5 linked regions of the Sus scrofa genome follow. The protein of the gene in region 3 interacts with the protein of the main gene of each other region in a pairwise test. Links are inferred from orthologs where the notes say so. Each region holds a gene or a part of one and is shown on either strand. Other genes may lie near its edges.

Region 1 (3,513 bases), on a different chromosome or scaffold from region 3:
GGACAATAACAAGTGTTGATGAGGATGTGGAGAAATTAGAACCCTCAGACACTGCTGGTAGGAATGTGAAATAGTGCAGCAACTTTGGAAAACAGATTGCAGTTCCTCAAACAGAGAGCTACCATATGACCCATTAATTCATGTACTCAAGAGAACTGAAAACAAGCTTTTGAAAACAAAGACTTGTACACAAATGTTCATAGCAGCATTATTTGTAATAGTGGTAACAAGTCAACTAATACAATATTGTAAGTCAACTATACTCCAATAGATTTTTTTTAAAGTGGAAACAAGTTAAATGTTTACCAACTAGTGAGTGAATAAACAAAATGTGACATATCCATTCAATAGAATATAATAACATTTTATTTACTCAGCAATAGAAAGGAATGGAATACTGATACATGCTAAAGCATGGGTGAATCTCAAAAACAGTAAGCTAAATTGAAAGAAACTAGACACCACAGGTCACATATTATAAGATCCCATTATATGAAGTGTCTAGAAAGAGAAAAATCTATAGAGACAGAAAAAACAGATCAGTGGTTCCCTGGGCCTGAAAATGGGAGCAGAGATTGACTGAAAAAATGGGCAATAGAAAATTTTGGGGGGGGTAATGGAAATATAAAACCAGATTATGGAGATAGTTGTATAATTATAAATTTACTAAAAATCATTGAATTATACAATGGGTAAATTTTATAGTATGTAAATTATATCTTAATAAAGCTAGTTTAAAAATTACTGAATAGCAATCCAGCAATTCCACTGCTGCATACATCCAAAAAAAACCTTAGGAGTTCCCGTCGTGGCGCAGTGGTTAACGAATCCGACTAGGAACCATGAGGTTGTGGGTTCGGTCCCTGCCCTTGCTCAGTGGGTTAACATCCGGCGTTGCCGTGACCTGTGGTGTAGGTTGCAGACGCGGCTCGGATCCCGCGTTGCTGCGGCTCTGGCGTAGGCCGGTGGCTACAGCTCCGATTGGACTCCTAGCCTGGTAACCTCCATATGCCATGGGAGCGGCCCAAAGAAATAGCAAAAAGACAAAAAAAAAAAAAAAACCCTATAATTTAAAAATATACATGCACTCCTATGTTCATTTTAGCACTATTCACAATAGCCAAAATATGGAAGGAAACAACCTAAATGTCCACCAACAGATGAAAAGACTAGGATGTGGTACACATATACAATGGAATACCACCCAGCCATAAAAAGAATGAAATAATGGCATTTGCAACAACATGGATGCAACTAGACATTCTCATACTAAGTGAAGTAAGTCAGAGAAAGACAGTTACCATATGATATCACTTATGTGTAGACCCTAAAATATGGCACAAATGAACCTACCTACAAAACAGAAACAGAATCACAGACATAGAGAACAGACTTGTGGTTGCTAAGGGGGAAGGAAGAGGGAGTGGGATGGATGGGGAGTTTGGGATTGGTAGATGCAGACTATTACATTTAGAATGGATAAGTAATGAGGTCCTACTATACAGCACAGGAAACTATATTCAATCTCTTGGGACAGAACATGATGGAAGATAGTATGAGAAAAAGAATGTATATATATGTATGGCTGGGTCACTATGCTGTACAGCAGAAATTGGCACGACATTCTAAATCAACTATACTTTAATAATAAACAAACAAGTAAATAATAAATTACTGAATGAACCTGTGCTAAAATGAAAAAAATTGGCAGAGGGACTAAAATATAGGTGTTCAGTGTTTCTTCTTCTTTATTACCTATCTCAGAAATGGCAGGAATAACAATAAACTTTTTCAAAGAGTCATTATCATCTTCTCAGGGAAATAATAATTCTACCAGGTTTTGAAAATACAAACTAATTCAGAATGCCAGGTGGTACTGCTATTTTAACCTAATCCATAGTTAACTTGTATTAGGAATTTTCTACTTTTAACTCCATTTCATGAACCCAGGGAAATTTTATTATGTATAACCACATTGGAATATGACTTTATTTACCCTAAAACTCATATCAAAAGGCATTATTCTAATTTCTAATATACAAGACAATTCAGTTTTTTAAAATTAGCTTAAAGTTTATTATCAGTTTTTGACTTACGGTGTGGCTAATAAGGTTCAGAGCATCTTCAAAATAGCCCCAAACTTCTTCCAGGGGACAGAGCTCGGCACTCAGTGTCCCATCTGGCACTAAGAGGTTAAGCAAGCTGTGCATACATTTGCTGAAAATCAAAAAGAGAAAACTCATCCCATAGGAAAGAAATCATTGACTTCATGGCTAAGATAAGTAAGATCTGGATTTCATCCCAGACTAAGAGCTTCAAAACACTTCTGTTCTTCCTTCAATTTGATTTTCCAAGCTCAGAAGACAGATTTTTTGAAGATATAAAAGGGGCTGACCAATCCTTCCTTTTATTATGTCTATGGTTGTCTTTCACTTTTTTTTTTAGCTTCTTGCACTGAGTTGTGTCTGTTTACTACATTTTATGAGCTGGTTTAATCTACAGGCACTTTAAAGCATCTTGTTACATCCTCAAATGGGGGAAGGGAATTGGGATTTAAATTGGGAATGATTCCAGGAGAACTGTCTCTCATGTCTCAGAAAAGGAAGATTGTAATGAAGTTTTCCAGAGAAAAATCACACAACATCTATTTTTCCCTCATGTCTAGGCATAGAGAACATAAAATCTCCAATAAATACTGTTTTATATTATGTACAGCACTTATTGGTCTTTAAAGGAGGGTTCTTAGAACAAAATATATGAGGCAAATATAGCAAATGTTAATATCTGTTAAATTTGAGTGGTGGATACACTGCTGTTTATTATATTAATCTCTATTTTTCTGTACACTTGGCATATTTAGTAATGAAAGAAAGTACTTAATTAATAATTTCATTATATACATAGACATGCAAAGAAGCAAATTTCCCCCTCTTTTTCTCCTTTGGGAAAACCAGACTCCTTCACTTTGCTTTGGTCTCTAATACAGCTCTAAATATGGGGCTGTTCTGAGGGCTTTTTAGTCTAGGAGTTAACAGGAGTACCTAAATCATCTTTTGAGTCAGTGAGTATGATTGATGATTTATGGAACATTGACTATAGCACTGTTGGCTATCAGAAATTAAGATTCAAAGTTGAATTATATTTACTAACCTGTATTTCAAAACATCAATGGACTCTTTATTTTTGTGGAGCAATAAAGCCTTTTTCAAGGCCTTTAGAGCAATAGAAGGATAATGTGCAGGCATTTCCATCGCTAATGCTATAGGAAGGGAAGCAAAAAGATTGTGAACACCATAATCATAGCTGTCATCCCAGGCTACAACTTGCTTTCTCTAATGAAACTGACCTGAAACAGATGAACAAAAATAAACACAAAAACCCAAAAATGAATTTTATAAAATGATGTATCTGTGATGGCTTTCAGAGATAACTCCTCCTTTTTGGGCAGAGTAACATGGTAGGATCACCAGGTTATACCTCTTCTTCAGCAAAAATCAACAGAGAACCTACTGT
Region 2 (3,549 bases), on a different chromosome or scaffold from region 3:
CTATTTTTATAGTTTATTTTTTGCAGCTGATAACGCCATTTGAGTTTGACGAATTCAATGGTAATATTAACATCATTTTCCTTTTAAAATACACTTCTTTTAGCGGGAACAGAAGTTAATCACAGGAGTTAAAAAGGAATGGTCTCTACGGACAATCAAGGTAGAGACTATAATCTAGAGCTATAGTTTTGTTTTTGCTTTAAATCTCAGTAAAAGGGAAACAGTCTTTTAGTTGGTAGGTAGCAGAAAAATTGCAAGCTCTCTTGAGTGTAGGGATATTTGTTTACTGCTGAATCTCAAGATCCTACAACAGTGATTAACAGGTATATAAACAAATTAATAAATAAATTTAAAAAGTGAACTTAAAAACATGTCCATAACAAGATTCACTTTGATCTGACATGCTTTTCTATTTTTAACTATATGATAACTAAAAAGTCTAGCATATAATCACCTACCCCAAATAGGGGATTTTTATTAAAAGATTCAGAGTAAGAAATAAAAGACTAAATAAGGCCTTGAATAGCTTTATTGAAATCTGTATAAATAAACATGCACATTTCAAATGTAAACTCAAGTGAACTCAAGTGCAGACAAAATTTTAACCTCTGTCATGCAGGAGGTTAGTTTACATTAAAAAAGAAAAAAAAAAAAAAGAAAAAAGAAAAAAAGAAAAAAAAAAAAAAAGGAAAAACCCAAAGCAGCTTTAAAAATACCAGGATGAAAAACCAGCTTTAATATCAAGGTATAAAGCAAAGCCATGATCAACATACCTCATTTATCCTGGTCAAATGCATTTTTCTTTTACTTTTAAATGCTAACATAAATAAATAATTTACCAAAATGTGCACTCACAGAGTGAACTTTTATTTACAATACACAATTTATAATCTATTGTATTTGATTAGTTCAAGTGAAGAACATCATACTTTTTGCTTTAGTAAGAGTGGGACACAAAGCAATTGCTCAGGTAGTCGATATGTGAAATGTGCCCCAGCATTTAGAGTTTCTATTAAAGGCAGTATTGTATGCCAATTGACAATACATTCTTTCAACTAGATCAAAGGGAAAAAGCAGCAAATGAAAAATGTTTCCAATGTTCACACATATTTTTGGCATCCTGGATCCTTGAATGTGGTGAAGGAAAGTAAAATTCAAGATTTGTATGCTTTATATACTGTACAGGTTCTGACTCTGGAACATGCAAATGCCAATTCTCTTGTAACAAGTTACCTTCTGAGAAAAGCTGTAAGGCTATGGTGAATTCCATCAGGAACACACAGAGAAAGTTAACAGACCTACCTTTAAAGCCAATTGTCTATTAATGATTTAAAGGCCAGTAGATGAAAAAAATTTCTCATCAAAGCTTGATGTAATTATTACTATGGATACAGAATACTATTTTTGTCTTTATATTACATATTTAGGAGAGCTAAAAGTTGCCAAATTACCAAAAAATGGGGTAGAGAAAAACAGACAGCAAAAATTTTAATTTTGGACCAATACCAGATTAAAGATATGCATTTTAAAGTAAGTTAAAAATAATCTGAATGTCTAAGGAACAGATCCCAATAGCAGTAAAAATACTTACATGTAACTGAAAAGTGACTTTAGATGAAATGTGAAATCTAGAACCTGTTTTCCACAGTAGCAGTTAAGAGGAACATAATATTCTGGATTTTTAAAAAATGATACTATAAAGGGAAGTAACTTTTTCAAGACTGTTTCCTGTATCATGATTTCATTTTATAATAGGCCCACACTGATTACCAGGTAAAGATTTGAAAATTTGGTTTTCCAAAACTACTACTGCAGTATTTATGCCACATTGATACTGCAGCTAAATATCATAGTAGTGTATGTGGCAGCCTAATGCACATGAACTAGATTATCCAAAAACTAAGTTCAGCCATAGTTTTCTTGCAGTATTATTAGAGCAAAATAAATGACCAACATCCACAAATTTAACATTTGTCATCAATTAACTCACATCCAAAAAATTAAAGAAAACATAATTCATCAAAACAGCAGCAAACTTAAAAGGGATTTATTTGTGATTTCCTATATATATTTAGCTTGTAAATACAAGACTGTAAATGTATTAAGAGACAATTTCTGTTAAAGTTTTCATTGTATTTCACTTCAAGTACTGCACAAGTTAAAATCTGATAAAGGATTTACATTCGGTTATCTGAAACTCCCCATCTCAGACTTTGTTTAATGTGGTGGGTGACTTCATCATTTCAATAGATACCACCAGCAGGAAAGTCTCTCTTTTATGGCTTCTAGGACTTTCATTAGTTAGTGTGCATACAGTTTTCATTTTCTATATCATTGTCATTATCATTGCTATCTTCATCACTTTCTAATGGGATGCCTGTGGCAGCTGAAGCACCTTTAGTTTCTCGGTCAAGAGGGAAAAAGCCAGTTCCACTGAAAGTGTCTTGTCTCTGGTAGAAGAGTACGTATGCTGCTTTGGACTGTTAAACAAAGAATGTTAAAATGGTTATGATTCTTAAAGATAACATTAAATACAGGATGAATTTTTAGCTGGTAAGTGATTTTTGTGACAAGGCATAAATCATAAAAAAAAACCACACCTGGTCAACTGAAGGTTACTAAAACTGATTAAATATAAGATCACTTCTATATAGAAGGAAGAATGGTCACTGGATTTACCATTCTTATTTTAAGTTAGCTGGACAGACAAAGGCAACTATATCGCTAATTAACCTAGTTACTCTAACATGAAATAGAATTCTATGCCCTCTTTTCTCCTATCTCTGAGGAAACAGTTAAGTTTCTTTCTAACACTAATAACTTCATTTTATATTTGCTCTAGATCCTAACTTTTCTTACTGTGTTAAGGATAACTGTGCCATCAATCATCACTGTGTATGTTTAATGAGTCCTTAGCTAGTGGACTTCTGAGCACAAATAATACTTAAAAGTCTTTTCCCATCACAAATCCCTCTCCTTTCTACCTCTTCCTCTAGCTGCTATATACCCCCCTTCCTCTTTCTCACAGCCAGGCTGGGAGACTAAGATTCATTCAGTCTCATGCACATCCTCAATTCAATGTGAACTAACTGTTGCTGCAACCATTCCAACGAAATGACTTTCACTAGGCTCAAAAACATCCTAAAAGCAAATTAAATGGACACTTTTAGTTCTTTTAGCCAATTTTTCTGTAGCATTTAATGCTTTAGTGCTCCTTTTTGCTGCACTGAAGTATTTTTGGCTTCTGTTACACCACTTTTCCTTAGATCTTCCATCTCTATAGTTTCTTCTGACTTTTCTGTAGGCACATTAAATTTTGACCTTAAAAAAAAAAAATCATGTTTTGTGGGCTCTTCCTCAATTTGTATCTTCCCCTGGGGGAATCATTCAGATCTATGGTTTGAATGATTCACCTATGTTACTTAAGAAAGACAATTCAAATTTATAACTTAAACCAGGTCTCGTCCCTGAACTCTAGTCCTATTAGTCCAACCACCTAGTGAAAACTTCCACATGGTTATTACATACAGGTATCTCAAACTTTGCAGC
Region 3 (4,306 bases):
TGCTCTGCTGGTACTGCATCTGCAGAGAACCTTGCGCAGGGGTGGACACGTCCAGTCCAGACCCTCCCTCCACTCGCTGAGAGATGAAGCTGTTCAAGGACCTCAGGGTGGAGAGGACGGTGGTGTTTTCGCCCAGGTCTTCCATGGCCACCTCCCTCTGGAGGAAAACAAGGGACGGGTCACGGGGAGCCTTTCCACGCACCATCGGCTCTGGCAGCTGCCCAGTCAGGGGCGCCTTCAGGGAGCCCCACACCCTGATGCGCTCTCAGAGCCCTTAACACATTCCAGGGTCCGTGAGCACCGTCTTCCAGGTTAAGGGGGAGTACATGCTGCCAATTTCTCAGAGAAGAACGGAGGCATAAAAAGACAACGTGCCAGCAAGCTGCTGACCGGCAGAGCGCTGACGAGCACACCAGCTGGAAAGACAGACGGCCCTCAGGACAGGGTGTCCAGCCGTCAGGGTGTCCAGCTGGGCACCTCCCAGATGAGCACTGACAGAAAGCCTAGCTTCTGGGAATGAGAAGCAAAGAACACAGGAGTCCCTGCTGTGGCTCAGACGTAACAAACCCGACTAGAATCCACGAGGACACAGGTTCAACCTCGGCCTCGCTCAGTGAATTAAGGATCCAGCACTGCCATGAGCAACAGTGTAGGTCACAGCTGCAGCTTGGATCCTGCGTTGCTGTGGCTGTGCTGTGGGCCGGAGCTGCAGCTCCGACGAGACCCCTCACCTGGGAACCTCCATATGCTGCGGGAGCGGCCCTGCAAAGACAAAAAATAAAAAGCACACGACAGTGGCAATCAGGAGGGCACCCCCGCAATGCTAATTACAGGTTAGCAATGACATTAATGGGTGTCTCGACCACCTTCAGCCACCCGACTAATGCCCACGAGGATGCAGGTTCAAGCCCCAGCCTTGATCAGGGCGGGGTTAAGGATCCAGAGTTGCCGTGTGCTGTGGTGTAGGTTAAAGAAGGGGCTCGGATCTGGCGTTGCTGTGGCTGTGGCGTAGGCTGGCAGCTGCGGCTCTGATTCGGCCTCCAGCCCGGGAACATCCATATGCCTCTGCCACAGGGGTGGCCCTAAAAAGAACAAATAAATGGTTACAGAACTGAGATTGGACCCTGGTCTGTCTGGCTCTAAGGCTGAGTGTACTCCCCAGGCCAGTGTATGAAGGTCTGAGGACAAGCAGCAGCAAAGAACCTGCGCCCCCAAATCTGTGCTTATTATGGCCTCACACCACGCTGTCTACCAGCCGGAAGGTGTGGCAGTGTCCCAGGCACAGCGAAGCACCAAGAGGTGTGAATTCCTACAGGTGCATCGTCTTCAGGAAAAGAGCCAGCTCTCACTGATTTCCCTTAAGTATGAGACGGAACGCACCTTCCCCCAGCTGGAGCCCCCTTCCCCCCGAAAAAGAAGACCTGGTTTGCTCCTGAATTTCCCGTTTAAGGAGAACCCTGGCCTTGTGCACCCAGAGCCTGTCTTCCGGAGGCCGTGGTTTCCACGCCCGGCACAACTCGGCTGTCCTCACCACTCTCCTTCAAACCACAAGTGGAAGATGGGTGGGACGAGAAACCAGCGAGGGGCGCTCACGGAGCTGCGCGCCTGGCGAGCGATGCAGGCCCGCGCAGCGAGGCACGGGGCTCTGCTCTGGAAGGCCAGTCCTCCATCTGCCAAGATTAGACCACTCTTCCCCTCCCGTGATGGTAAATCTGGCCAACACGCCCCCTTCTCACACCCGATGCCCGCAATACCCCAGCAGGAAGAGAACGTACCCGCTTTCACCTGCCCCGAACTCCGCTGCCCCACGAGGCGGCAGCTCAAATTCCACCCTCTTTATCCAAGCGACCCAAACCTTCCAGCGCCCTCACCACGGACTCGGAGCTCAGAGTCCCGGGCACCCTGCCTCTCTCCCGCCCTGCTGGCCCAAGGACAGACATTACAGGGCTCCCCACCGCCCAGCGGCCCTTCACACCGCCGCGGGCGCTCTCGCCGGCCGGCCGGCCAGTTCTCCACCTGCTGCCGGGCGCCTTCGCCAAACTTCCACCACCGACGAAACGCACGCGAGCGCGCCTCCCACGGGCCGCCGGCAGTGGGACCCTGGGCAGGGCGCTTGCCCCTTCCCACCGTTTCCCTGGCTGTCAAAGGCAGTAGCGGCAAGTCCCACGCCGCCCGGCGAGGACGCGCGGGAAGCGGGGAGAGCGCCGCCGGCCCCCGAGCCTCGGCGGGTGAGGGACCCGCTGCCGCGAGGCCGCCCCCTCGGCGCTCGAGACCCCGACCATTCCCAGCGGCCCTTCTCGGAGGAGGCGCGCTGGGGACGCCCGCCCGCCCAGCCTCGGAAGGACCCCAGCCTCGCCCCCGCCCGCCCCGCGCCGGCTCAGCCTGGCGCAGCGCGGCGCCCGCCGGGGCACCCCGGCCGCTCACCTCACCGCCTCAGCCCACCGGGCGCCGCCGCTGCTGCTGCTGCCGCCGCCGCTCAGATCTCCCTCTTCTACGCCCGCGCCCACGTATCGCGAGACGTGCGGCTGCGCTCTCGCGAGACCTGGGCGGGACCAGCCGTGAGCTCCGGATCTGCGCGCCTGCAGGTCACGGGGACTCCGCGTCCGTCCCCGGAGCTACCTACTCCCGGCAGAGGCCGCAAAGAGGGGACTCGGAACCAAAGCCGGCCCGCCCGCGGGACTCTCGTGGTGCCCCCACCTCCAGCGTGTCGGCTTCCACTTGGCGGCTGCCTTGCGCCGTATTGTGTGGAATAGCACCGTCCAACGGTGGCCTCTTAGAGCCAAACTTCCCTGCACTCCCTTTCCCCGGTTTTACCACTACGGTATTTGCTTGAGTTAATGCGTTTTAACTTTTCACAAGGCCCTCTGAAAAAAGGCCAAATGCTATTCTACTAAGCTGTCCTCACAAAAGGCTGCGCTTCTAAGCTGGAGCCGTCGGGGCGCGGGGACCTCGTCTGGGTCTCAGTTCTCCAGGGAGCAGTGGTCAGCCTGTCCCTCCTCGAATTACGGCCACCTGGGTCCAGCAGCGTGCCTCCCGCGCCAGCTAGGCGCCCGAGGGCCTGCACCGAATTCCCTTCTTCCAGAGAATAAAAGACACGTTAGTGTGGCCAGAACGAACTGGATGGGAAAGCGGAGAATGTGATAGTGAAGGCAGGACGGAGGGCTCTCCGGTCTTAACTGGCCGACTGCAAACGAAAACAAAACGAAAAATTTGAGTCTGGCCAGCAGCATCCTTCAGGGATCTGGACTCAGCCCTAGGACCCTGATGGAGATTCCTGGCTACCTCTCCCCTCCCCAAGCAGTCTTGGGATTTAATCATCGCTACAGTCAATAAACTCTTTTGGGGGGGGGCTTTTTTAGGGCCCCACCAGCAGCATATGGAAGTCCCCAGGCTACGAGTCGAATAGGAGCTACAGCAGCTGGCCTAGGCCACAGCCACGCCATTGCGGGATCTGAGCCGCATCTGTGACCTACACCACAGCTCAGGGCAACGCCGGATCCCCCACCCAGATTCGAACTCGAATCCTCAAGGGTACTAGTCGGATTCCTTTCCGCTGTACCACAGGACTCCCATCAATATACTCTTTTTAAAAAACTTTAATAAATAAATAAATAACTTTTATCACTCAATGAATTTTATTATAGTTGTACGATTATCACAACCCAATTTTATAGCATTTCCAGGAACTGGTTTTGAGGAAACCAATCAATTTAAAAAAAAACAAAAAACAAAAACTTAAAAACACAGACATTCATTCCTCTTACGGCCTATACGACCTTACAGAGTCGCATCACAACCCTGGACAGGGGCACGGAGGTAAGGGAACACACCATGTCGCTGCTTGCTTTGGCAACGACCTTTAAGTCTTTGGAGCCTGGAATATTACAGCAACATTTTCCAGTGAAAAAGCAAAGCACAGCCACCCCATGCATAATTCACACCAAATGTCTTCTCTGATTGTCCTGGGAACTCGTCACTGCTTCAAGAATGGATGTATTTCCAGATCATTCACCCGAGAGATGGGAAAAAATCCCCAGACTGAAGTTTCACATTTGTCCACATTACGCTGGGTAGCCAAAATACCACCTGGAAACTGCGGGCTGTTCTTGGAGGGAGGATGGAAGCCTGTTTCTCCGTAACACGCTCAGTCACAGCAGGAGAGGAGAACGTTATGTAAAGGTGTCTGTGTGTGTTTCTCTGCCTCCCACTGTTTCTGTCCTCCCCCCAGTAGGCCTTTTCATCTTTTTATCTTTGCCCCTCCCTTAGGAAAAAAGGTCCCCCATGTGTCCTTCCTGCTGCAGCCCAG
Region 4 (4,300 bases), on a different chromosome or scaffold from region 3:
CCCGGATGCAGGGGTTCTTCTCAAGACTGACCTCGTCCAGCTGACCGATCAAGCCCTGCAGTTCCGTTTTGGAGCTCAGGTACAGCTCGGCGGGATTCTGGGCTCGGAGGAGCTCGTTTTTTATTTCTCTCACTCGCGTGAGGACCTTCTCTATCTTTAGAATGGAGTGGTTCTGGCCCAGGTCGAAGGCGTAAGTGGTATCTGCCTCCTCCTCCAAGTCCAAGTACTTCAGCAGCTTGTTGATATCCTCCACCACCTCCTTCCGATAGTTCCTGATTTCCGTGTGCCCGCACACATCCAAAGCGTCCAGATCCGCCATCAGCCCCGAGAGCACACACGACAGGTGCCTGCAGGTCTCGTCACTGCTCACGCCCATCAGGAGGGCGATCAGCGTGCCTCGGGCCCGGTTCACGTCACACATCACGGAGTTGATCTTGGCCACCGAGGGGTGCGCGTCGGCGGAGAGCGGCAGCGAGGGCGGCTTTCTCCCGCAGTCCTCGATGATCTCCTGCACGGCGCAGACCTTGGTTAGGGTGTGATACCGCGCCTTCCGCAAGGAGGTCCGGCCGCCCGTCTTGACGCGCGTCAGCCGCAGGATGACGTCCTGGATGCCCTCTTCAAACTCCTCCGTCACACAGCTGCCGCCGCTGTGAAAGGGCACGATCTTCTCTTTCACCAGGGACTGTGCTTCTTGGAAAATGTGCTGGATCTCGAGCCGGTGGGGGTGGTTTGCATTCTGCTCCAGCTCTTTGAGAAGACGCTCCGTCTCCTGGGCCGCCCTCTTCCGCGCTTGCTGAATATCTCCCTTGCCTTCCGTATCTACAGAGTCTATTTCAAAGAGTTGTTTCGTTAGAATCCTCTCCAGTTTCTTGTACGTCTTGTCGTCTGACAGGCCACTGAAAGCAGTTACTTGCTGTTCTATGCTTTTTACCTCCTTTTGGATCTCCTGGAGCCGACTTATAGAAGGATGCTGGTTTCCCATCGCCATACTTTGGTTGTGTTCAGTTTCACAAGCACTAAAAGATGGCAAAAACGATAACTCATTACACTACAAAGCCTGCAGCATGGTAATCACATATTCAATTCATTCTACAGTTCTCATTCTAAAAAGACAGGCTCGAAAAAAAAGGCTGGCTACTGCAGTCCAAAGGAGAAGAAATCCAAGCACAGAAATCAGAGCGACTCATCAATTCCCTCTCATGAAAACAGCTAAACAGCTGCACCGAGGTTGAGACCAGGGCTACTGCCGAGTGGAAATAGGAGCCGGAGCTCTGGGCCTGTGAACTTCAAGTTTCCTCAGTTGTAAGAGAGAACAAACAACATATGCCATCATAAGTATGGCATGAAGCTGAACATTTTGGAAAAGGTGCAGGTATCTGAGGTCTTAAAACTGGAAGCTGTTTTTTTTGGCGCGGCAGGGCACCTTTGTGGTAGCTCTGCTAACCTTCCAGGTCAGTACGTCTAAGCAGGGCCCTCCTCTCACCCCATTACAAAGAGCTATGACTAATTTCCGGAAAAAGTAAACAAAAGGAACCGAGCCACTGAAACAAACACCAGTGGTTCGCAGACACCGCCCAAGTCCCCGCTTCTACCGTCCTCTCCATCCTTTGAGCCCTTCTAACATCTCCTCTACAGTGGCATAGGGCTCCACGGGAAAGGCGACTGGGACTGTCAAAGCACCACCCTGGGCTCTGGAGGCCTAGTACCTCCCCAGGCCCCATCATGCTCCTGCCCCTTCTCCGAAATACATCGCACAAGCATGTGACAACTCTGAGCAATCCATTCACTAGCCTCACATTAGGAATCCAGAATGGCTCAACGCACTTTTTTCATGCTCCTGGGTTTCTATCGATCAGCTCTTTGGAGGGGGCCGGGTACTCAAGTGAAACCAATCCCTTCTGGGTGTCCGAGCCGAGAACACGCCTCTGGAGGCCCAGGGAGAGCAGGCGGCCTCGATTCTTCCCTTCCCTGCCCGCCCTTCCCTCCCAGCACTTTACCCAGAAGAGGTCTAAGCTGGTTTGGTCTTGGCTTCCCGTGGGTGAAGTGGCGAGATGGAAGATCAGCCCTTTACGGGGTGCGGCTCCGGAGCTGGGCCCCCAGCTGCATCCCTCTCACCCCTCCCGGCTAGATCTGAACGGGGCAGCCGGTGAAGGGGCCGGCAGTGGCAGCGGCAGCTACTGGCCGCAGCGGCCGCTCCGGGCGTCTCGCCCGGACCCCACGACGCACCCGCCCGCCCTGACCTCACAATGGCCCTCGGGGGAGGGGGCGGCCGCGCTCGGCCGGGCCTGGGAGCCGGCGAGGAGGGAGGGGGCTCGGGCCGGGCCGGCTGCGGGGAGCCCGGCTCGGAAACCAGGGCCGGCCCGCGTCGGACCCAGGGCTGGGGCGGCGCCCACTCCGGCCCGGCCACAACGGGGAAGGGCGCCGAGTCGGGGGTCGCCCGCCTGCTGCCCGCGCCGAGGGAAGGCTGCCGCCGCCTGGTTCTCGCTCACCTGCGCCGCCCGCGCCATCGCGCACTCCGCCGCCGACGCCCCGCGCCGCCGCAGCTCCCGCCGTCGCCTGGGCCCGGCAGCTCCGCCCCCGGGCCGAACAGCCCCTCGCCCTGGGAAAAGGTCTTCCGGCTTCCGCGCCCACCCCGACCCTGACCAAGCCCGCCGCTGGCCGTCTGGCGAGTCAGCCTGGAACGGCTGAGCCCCAGGAGCAGGCGGCCACCCGGCCGCGCCCGAGCCGACGGCCGTCCTCGCAGCCGGTCACACGCGGGGAAAGAGCACGATCGGCCGCGCTGTCCCCGTCCTCGGGCTTTGCGACCGTGCCGTAAGGCAGCCCCTAGCGCCGTCGCGACTCCGCCGTGCGCCGCGCGGGCCGACGGACGGCGACCATGGCGCCCTGGCGGCCCGGAAGCAAGACGGTCCTCCTTCCTCTCCGCCGCGCCTTTTCAGGCCGTGGCTGTCAGCTCGCCCCCGAGCGCAGCGCTGAGCGCAGGGATGCAGCGCCCAGCCGCGTAAGTGGGGTTCCCGGAAAAGTTGGGCCGGGAGGAGTGACCGCAAGGGGCGGCAGACCCGGGCCGCACCCCTCAGGGACCCCTGTGGGACCCTCACACCTGCGACGCGCCACTTGCGGTGTCGGCTGAGCCCCCCGGCGTGGGGACCCGGAGCCGGCACGGGCTTTGCGGGACAGGCGAGTGGAGCGCGGGGAAGCCCTGGAGCCCCCCAGTTTCCTGCGTCAATCCCCTTGTGGAGGTGGGACTGAGGGTGCCGCCGCCGTCCCGGGGCTGTTGAAAGAACTTTAAGAATAGCATAGCCGTGCAACAGAACAAAGGGTGGGGGAAAAAATGTATACATGTAAGAGTAATTTGGTCCCCATGCTGTACAGCGGAAAGAAAATAAAAGTAAAAAAATAAATAAATGAATAAAAGAATAGCATAGCCGGCCAGCAAGTTTATACGTACCGGGGAGTTCCCGTCGTGGCGCAGTGGTTAACGAATCCGACGGGGAACCAAGAGGTGGCGGGTTCGATCCCTGGCCTTGCTCAGTGGGTTAAGGATCCGGCGTTGCCATGAGCTGTGGTGTAGGTCGCAGATGCCGCTCGGATCCCGCGTGGCTGTGGCTCTGGCGTAGGCTGGTGGCTACAGCCCCGATTAAACCCCTAGCCTGGGAACCTCCATGTGCTGCGGGTGCGGCCCTAGAAAAGACAAAAAAAAAAAAGTTTATACGTACCGTCTTTCTGTCGAGGATAACTGGCTTTTACATGTAAAGAGCTCTTGACATGCGCAGCACGTGTGTGTGTCGTCTTTATGATTAGTAACGCTTTTCTTCAAGTGATGGCGTACTGTTTTGTAGGACTTCACGTTGAATGTTTTTGTTCATTTGGTTTGGAAACCGTGTGCATATATGTATATCTGTGACTGAAGAGCCATAACGATTAATATCTGTAGCAGTTTTTATAAATTGCACTGCTTTGGGGAATGACGTTTTGTTTAAGGGAGTCCTAAACTTTGATACCAACAGTCACATGAAAATGTGGACCAAGGGTGTGGAATGGGCTGCAGATAAAATGTTTAAACGATGGAGTTCCCATGGTGGCTCAGTGGTTAAAGAATCCGACTAGGAACCATGAGATTGCAGGTTCCATCCCTGCCCTTGCTCAGTGGGTTAAGGATCCTGTGTTGCCGTGAGCTGTGGTGTAGGTTGCAGACGTGGCTCAGGTTCCGGTTCCGAGTTGCTGTGGCTCTGGCATAGGCCGGCAGCTACAGCTCCAATTCGACTCCGGGCCTGGGAACCTCCATGTGCCCCAGGAGTGGCCC
Region 5 (3,513 bases), on a different chromosome or scaffold from region 3:
TCACCTGTATCCCTCACCTCACCATTTCCTTTTATAATTAACTGGTAAATGTAAATAAATGTGTTCCTGGCTGCGAATAACTAACTAATTAACTGAATCCAAAAAGGGAGGTGGCCATGGGAACCTCTGATTTACAGCCAGTCAGTCAGAAGTACAGGTAACAATCTGGACCTGCAAATGGCTCCTGGAGATCTAGGATGGGGTCCTTGGAACCTCCAACCTATAATAGGTTCACGTGTCAGAAGCACAGATGTTAACCTGGGCTTGTGAATGGCACCTGAGAGGAGAGTGGTTTTGTGGGATGGAGCCCTCTACCTGTGGAATCTGATGCTATCTCCGGGTAGACAGAAGAGGATTGAGTTGAATTGCAAGACATCCAGCTGGTGTATGCACTGCTTGTGGTATGTGGAGGGGAGATCTCCCCCCTCCCAACATCCATTGGAACTGATCTCAGAACCATCTTCATACACTTCCTTCTAATAGGTATCTTTATATGCCTTCCAACCAGAGTAGTGCAAAATGGTGTCTGAAGACATTTCACACTTCCTAATCCTTAATTGTTTATATTGGAATTTCTCTCATTTCACAGTGTCTATTTTCACTGCATTCCCAGGTGATTGTATATCTGTACTTTAGGGTCTTCCTAATTGCTCAGCTCTATACACTATTTCACCTGCCTTAGTATTCACACTAAACCTGTGGTTTTCAAATTTGTTTTAAGCGGAGAAAAAAAAAAAAGAAAAGAAAAAAAAAGAAAAGGAGCAGTAAGAGGACCCGAGTGAAATCAGCTCAGTTCCTCCCTCCTCCACAGGAGCACTCCAAAATCTCTGTCAGATTCCCAAGGTCTTTGGACCTTCAACTCACAAGAGACCAAGTCCCCTGGTAACTTAGTCTACTTTTTGGAACAGGACCTACTGCCCCAATTCAGGTGTTCCCTTCAAAGTAACTAACTTCAAGTCATTAGAACTTCTTTTGGCATAATCTAATCTCTGGCAGCACAGAGAAGCAGTCATTTCTGGGAAAGACAAGTCAGTAGCTAGGGGAGAAGATATATTTTTGAGTCTTTTAGTTCTCTACCACTGCAAAAAATAAAGGAACTTAAAAATAAACAAAAATTCAATAAACATTATTAGTCTTCTGCAGTTACCTTGTTGTCCGTAATTGTCCACTGGCCCTCGGCATTCTGCTTCAAGACACAGTGGTTTCGGGAAATCATCAGAGGGCAAATTTTTGAAACCAACTGGTATGTGACACCAAATCCTCGACCTACAGTCACCTAAGAAGACAACAACAACGTAGACACAATCAGCCATTGTGCTGAAGAGGGAGGTCATTACAATCTTGTCAACCAGCAGTGTCCACAAGTCTTGACTTAGGAAACCAGAGCAGAAAGGCAAGCAGCTCACTGGCTATCTCCTTCAGCTGCCATAGAAGCCAGTGGATAGAAAAAGGCAAAAAATGGACTTCCCGTGTGGCTCAGTGTTGCTTCTACAGTGGCTGTGGCTCGATCCCGGCTTAGGAACTTCCATATGCTGCAGGTGCGGCCACTTGTTTAAAAAAAGAAAGAAAGAAAAAGGCAAAAAGCTGTGACAAGAGACAGCTGAACGGAGTTAATCATGGGGTGTCAGGGTTGGTAGGACTCTGAAAGGTCACCTGCATCAACCACTCATGGGATGGAGGAATTCTCTCTACACACCCCATTAACTAGTTTTCTACACGGCCAAGAACTATAGCTATGATACAAGACAGTCCCGCCAACTTTTTAATGGCTCTGACTTGGAATCTTTCTCCCTATAATTTCCATCCACTGGCCCAAGCTCTGCCCTGGCCACAACCAGAAAATCTCCAGTTCCCCTTCACATGAGAGCTATAGTGCATCTGTGGAATCTTCCCTTTTCTTGGCCCTATGTTCCTATTACTTCGACATAACTCCATGTCATAGGTTTGAGTCTTCTTGCCATTTTAATAGGTCTGTGAAGAGATTTTTGGTGTTATTCCTAGATGTCATATCAAGAAAAACAAACTTGATTTTTTATTATATAGTCGAATACAAGTATCACTTTCCCAGTTCTAGATGTTATCAGTGGAGAATATAAATAACATTAGCTTTCACAGTAGATCTATCACACTGCCAGCATACCCTTAGGCTTAGGAATGATTAAATTTCTTGGACTAACCCTCCAAAGAATTCCTATGCTAAGTCATGTCTTTTCTGTCCTAGACTAACTGGCAAATGTGGATTCAAGTGCAGGACCTTACATTGATTCCTATTAAATGTCATCTTGTTAGTTTAGCCTATCATTAGCTTGTCAAGACCTTTCTGAATTTTTAATCTGCTATCAGACACACTCAATATCCATTCTGGCTTTAAGTCACCCACCAAATTGATATGATGCCTTCTGTACCTTCATTCAGGACACAGATTAAGAAGATTAAAACAGGTTGTAGCCAAAGGCAAAGCTCTTAGGAAAGCCTAGCAAATATTCTACCCTAAAAATACACACAAAAAAATTCAACAATTAAGGGAGTTCCCATGGTGGCTCAGTGATACTGAACCCAACTAGCATCCATGAGGATGCAAGTTCGACCCTTGGCCTTGCTCAGTGGGTTAAAGGATTCGGCATGGCCATGGTGTAGGTTGCAGATGCAGCTTGGATCCCACTTTGCTGTGGCTGAGGTGTAGGCCAGCAGCTACAGCTCAGATTTGACACCCTAGCCTGGGAACTTCCATATGCCACAGGTGCAACCCTAAAAATACACACACAAAAAAACCAACATTCTAACACACAATCTGGGTATACTTTCAACCAGTTATAATCCAATCAAAAGATGGAAAAGTCTGTATTTTCCATCTTACCCACAAGAACATCATGAGAGCCTTTGGAAAAGGTTGCAAAGACGACCCAATTCACATGCATCATACTTTGCTGACCGACCAATCTAGTTCATGACAACCCTGTCAAGGAAGGAAATGAAATTCTTCCGGGATCCAGCTTGCAGAATGCCCTGCTTATTCTTCTTGCTGCACAAGCCCCTCTTCAATGACCCATATCCAGACCTTACCTGGGAACACTAAGCCAAATGTCTGTAGTTTTCTAAAAGCTGCCCTTTTTGTTCCTCTTGAAAATCTTTCAGAATCATGCCTGTCCTCCTTAGTCTCTTAAAGACCACCATGAACGACTCGCTGCTCCAATCTATTCCTCCCCATAAACTCTCATCCCAGCAACTGACACCACCATCCAACCTACTGCTTAGCCCAAAACCCAGGAGCCATCTTTGATTTGCTCTCTGTCCCTCATGCCCACATTCAAATCATCAGCAAAATCTACTGGCTGTAGTTCAAATATGTCCTAAATCTATTCACTTCTCTCTCTCCTTCCCTCTCCCTCTCTCTCTCAGTGGCTCCTAGCTTAATCCAAACAACACTTCTTCCTCCAGTAGCACTATTTCTACTCCTGTGCTAGCCTCCATTCTTCACACAGTAGCTGGGGTGTAATGTAAAAACTAAACCTG

The links.
Region 1: the proteins of MAD1L1 (region 3) and TEX11 interact in a two-hybrid assay, tested with the Homo sapiens proteins (2 studies listed by BioGRID and IntAct). The two-hybrid records come from large-scale screens. The link is inferred for Sus scrofa from reciprocal best matches to the Homo sapiens genes MAD1L1 and TEX11.
Region 2: the proteins of MAD1L1 (region 3) and USP15 interact in binary tests that used the Homo sapiens proteins (3 or more experiments, as listed by UniProt). The two-hybrid records come from large-scale screens. The link is inferred for Sus scrofa from reciprocal best matches to the Homo sapiens genes MAD1L1 and USP15.
Region 4: the proteins of MAD1L1 (region 3) and BAG5 interact in binary tests that used the Homo sapiens proteins (3 or more experiments, as listed by UniProt). The two-hybrid records come from large-scale screens. The link is inferred for Sus scrofa from reciprocal best matches to the Homo sapiens genes MAD1L1 and BAG5.
Region 5: the proteins of MAD1L1 (region 3) and RNF8 interact in binary tests that used the Homo sapiens proteins (3 or more experiments, as listed by UniProt). The two-hybrid records come from large-scale screens. The link is inferred for Sus scrofa from reciprocal best matches to the Homo sapiens genes MAD1L1 and RNF8.

Annotation. Positions count from the first base shown.
Region 1 is NC_010461.5:56,589,593-56,593,105, forward strand, and holds part of TEX11 (testis-expressed protein 11), read right to left. Parts: intron 3,260-3,513; coding exon 3,151-3,259; intron 2,218-3,150; coding exon 2,097-2,217; intron 1-2,096. UniProt on the Homo sapiens protein: Regulator of crossing-over during meiosis. Involved in initiation and/or maintenance of chromosome synapsis and formation of crossovers.
Region 2 is NC_010447.5:27,079,512-27,083,060, reverse strand, and holds the end of USP15 (ubiquitin carboxyl-terminal hydrolase 15), read right to left. Parts: intron 2,481-3,549; coding exon 2,298-2,480; 3' UTR 512-2,297; downstream 1-511. UniProt on the Homo sapiens protein: Hydrolase that removes conjugated ubiquitin from target proteins and regulates various pathways such as the TGF-beta receptor signaling, NF-kappa-B and RNF41/NRDP1-PRKN pathways.
Region 3 is NC_010445.4:1,556,547-1,560,852, forward strand, and holds the start of MAD1L1 (mitotic spindle assembly checkpoint protein MAD1), read right to left. Parts: upstream 2,801-4,306; 5' UTR 2,425-2,800; intron 158-2,424; 5' UTR 146-157; coding exon 1-145. UniProt on the Homo sapiens protein: Component of the spindle-assembly checkpoint that prevents the onset of anaphase until all chromosomes are properly aligned at the metaphase plate.
Region 4 is NW_018084979.1:2,107,330-2,111,629, forward strand, and holds the start of BAG5 (BAG family molecular chaperone regulator 5), read right to left. Parts: upstream 2,808-4,300; 5' UTR 2,490-2,807; intron 2,472-2,489; exon of another isoform or gene 1,998-2,471; intron 1,017-1,997; 5' UTR 989-1,016; coding exon 1-988. Other genes in the region: APOPT1 (apoptogenic protein 1, mitochondrial), read left to right, coding at 2,876-2,998. UniProt on the Homo sapiens protein: Co-chaperone for HSP/HSP70 proteins. It functions as a nucleotide-exchange factor promoting the release of ADP from HSP70, thereby activating HSP70-mediated protein refolding.
Region 5 is NC_010449.5:32,938,305-32,941,817, reverse strand, and holds part of RNF8 (E3 ubiquitin-protein ligase RNF8), read right to left. Parts: intron 1,277-3,513; coding exon 1,148-1,276; intron 1-1,147. UniProt on the Homo sapiens protein: E3 ubiquitin-protein ligase that plays a key role in DNA damage signaling via 2 distinct roles: by mediating the 'Lys-63'-linked ubiquitination of histones H2A and H2AX and promoting the recruitment of DNA repair proteins at double-strand breaks (DSBs) sites, and by catalyzing 'Lys-48'-linked ubiquitination to remove target proteins from DNA damage sites.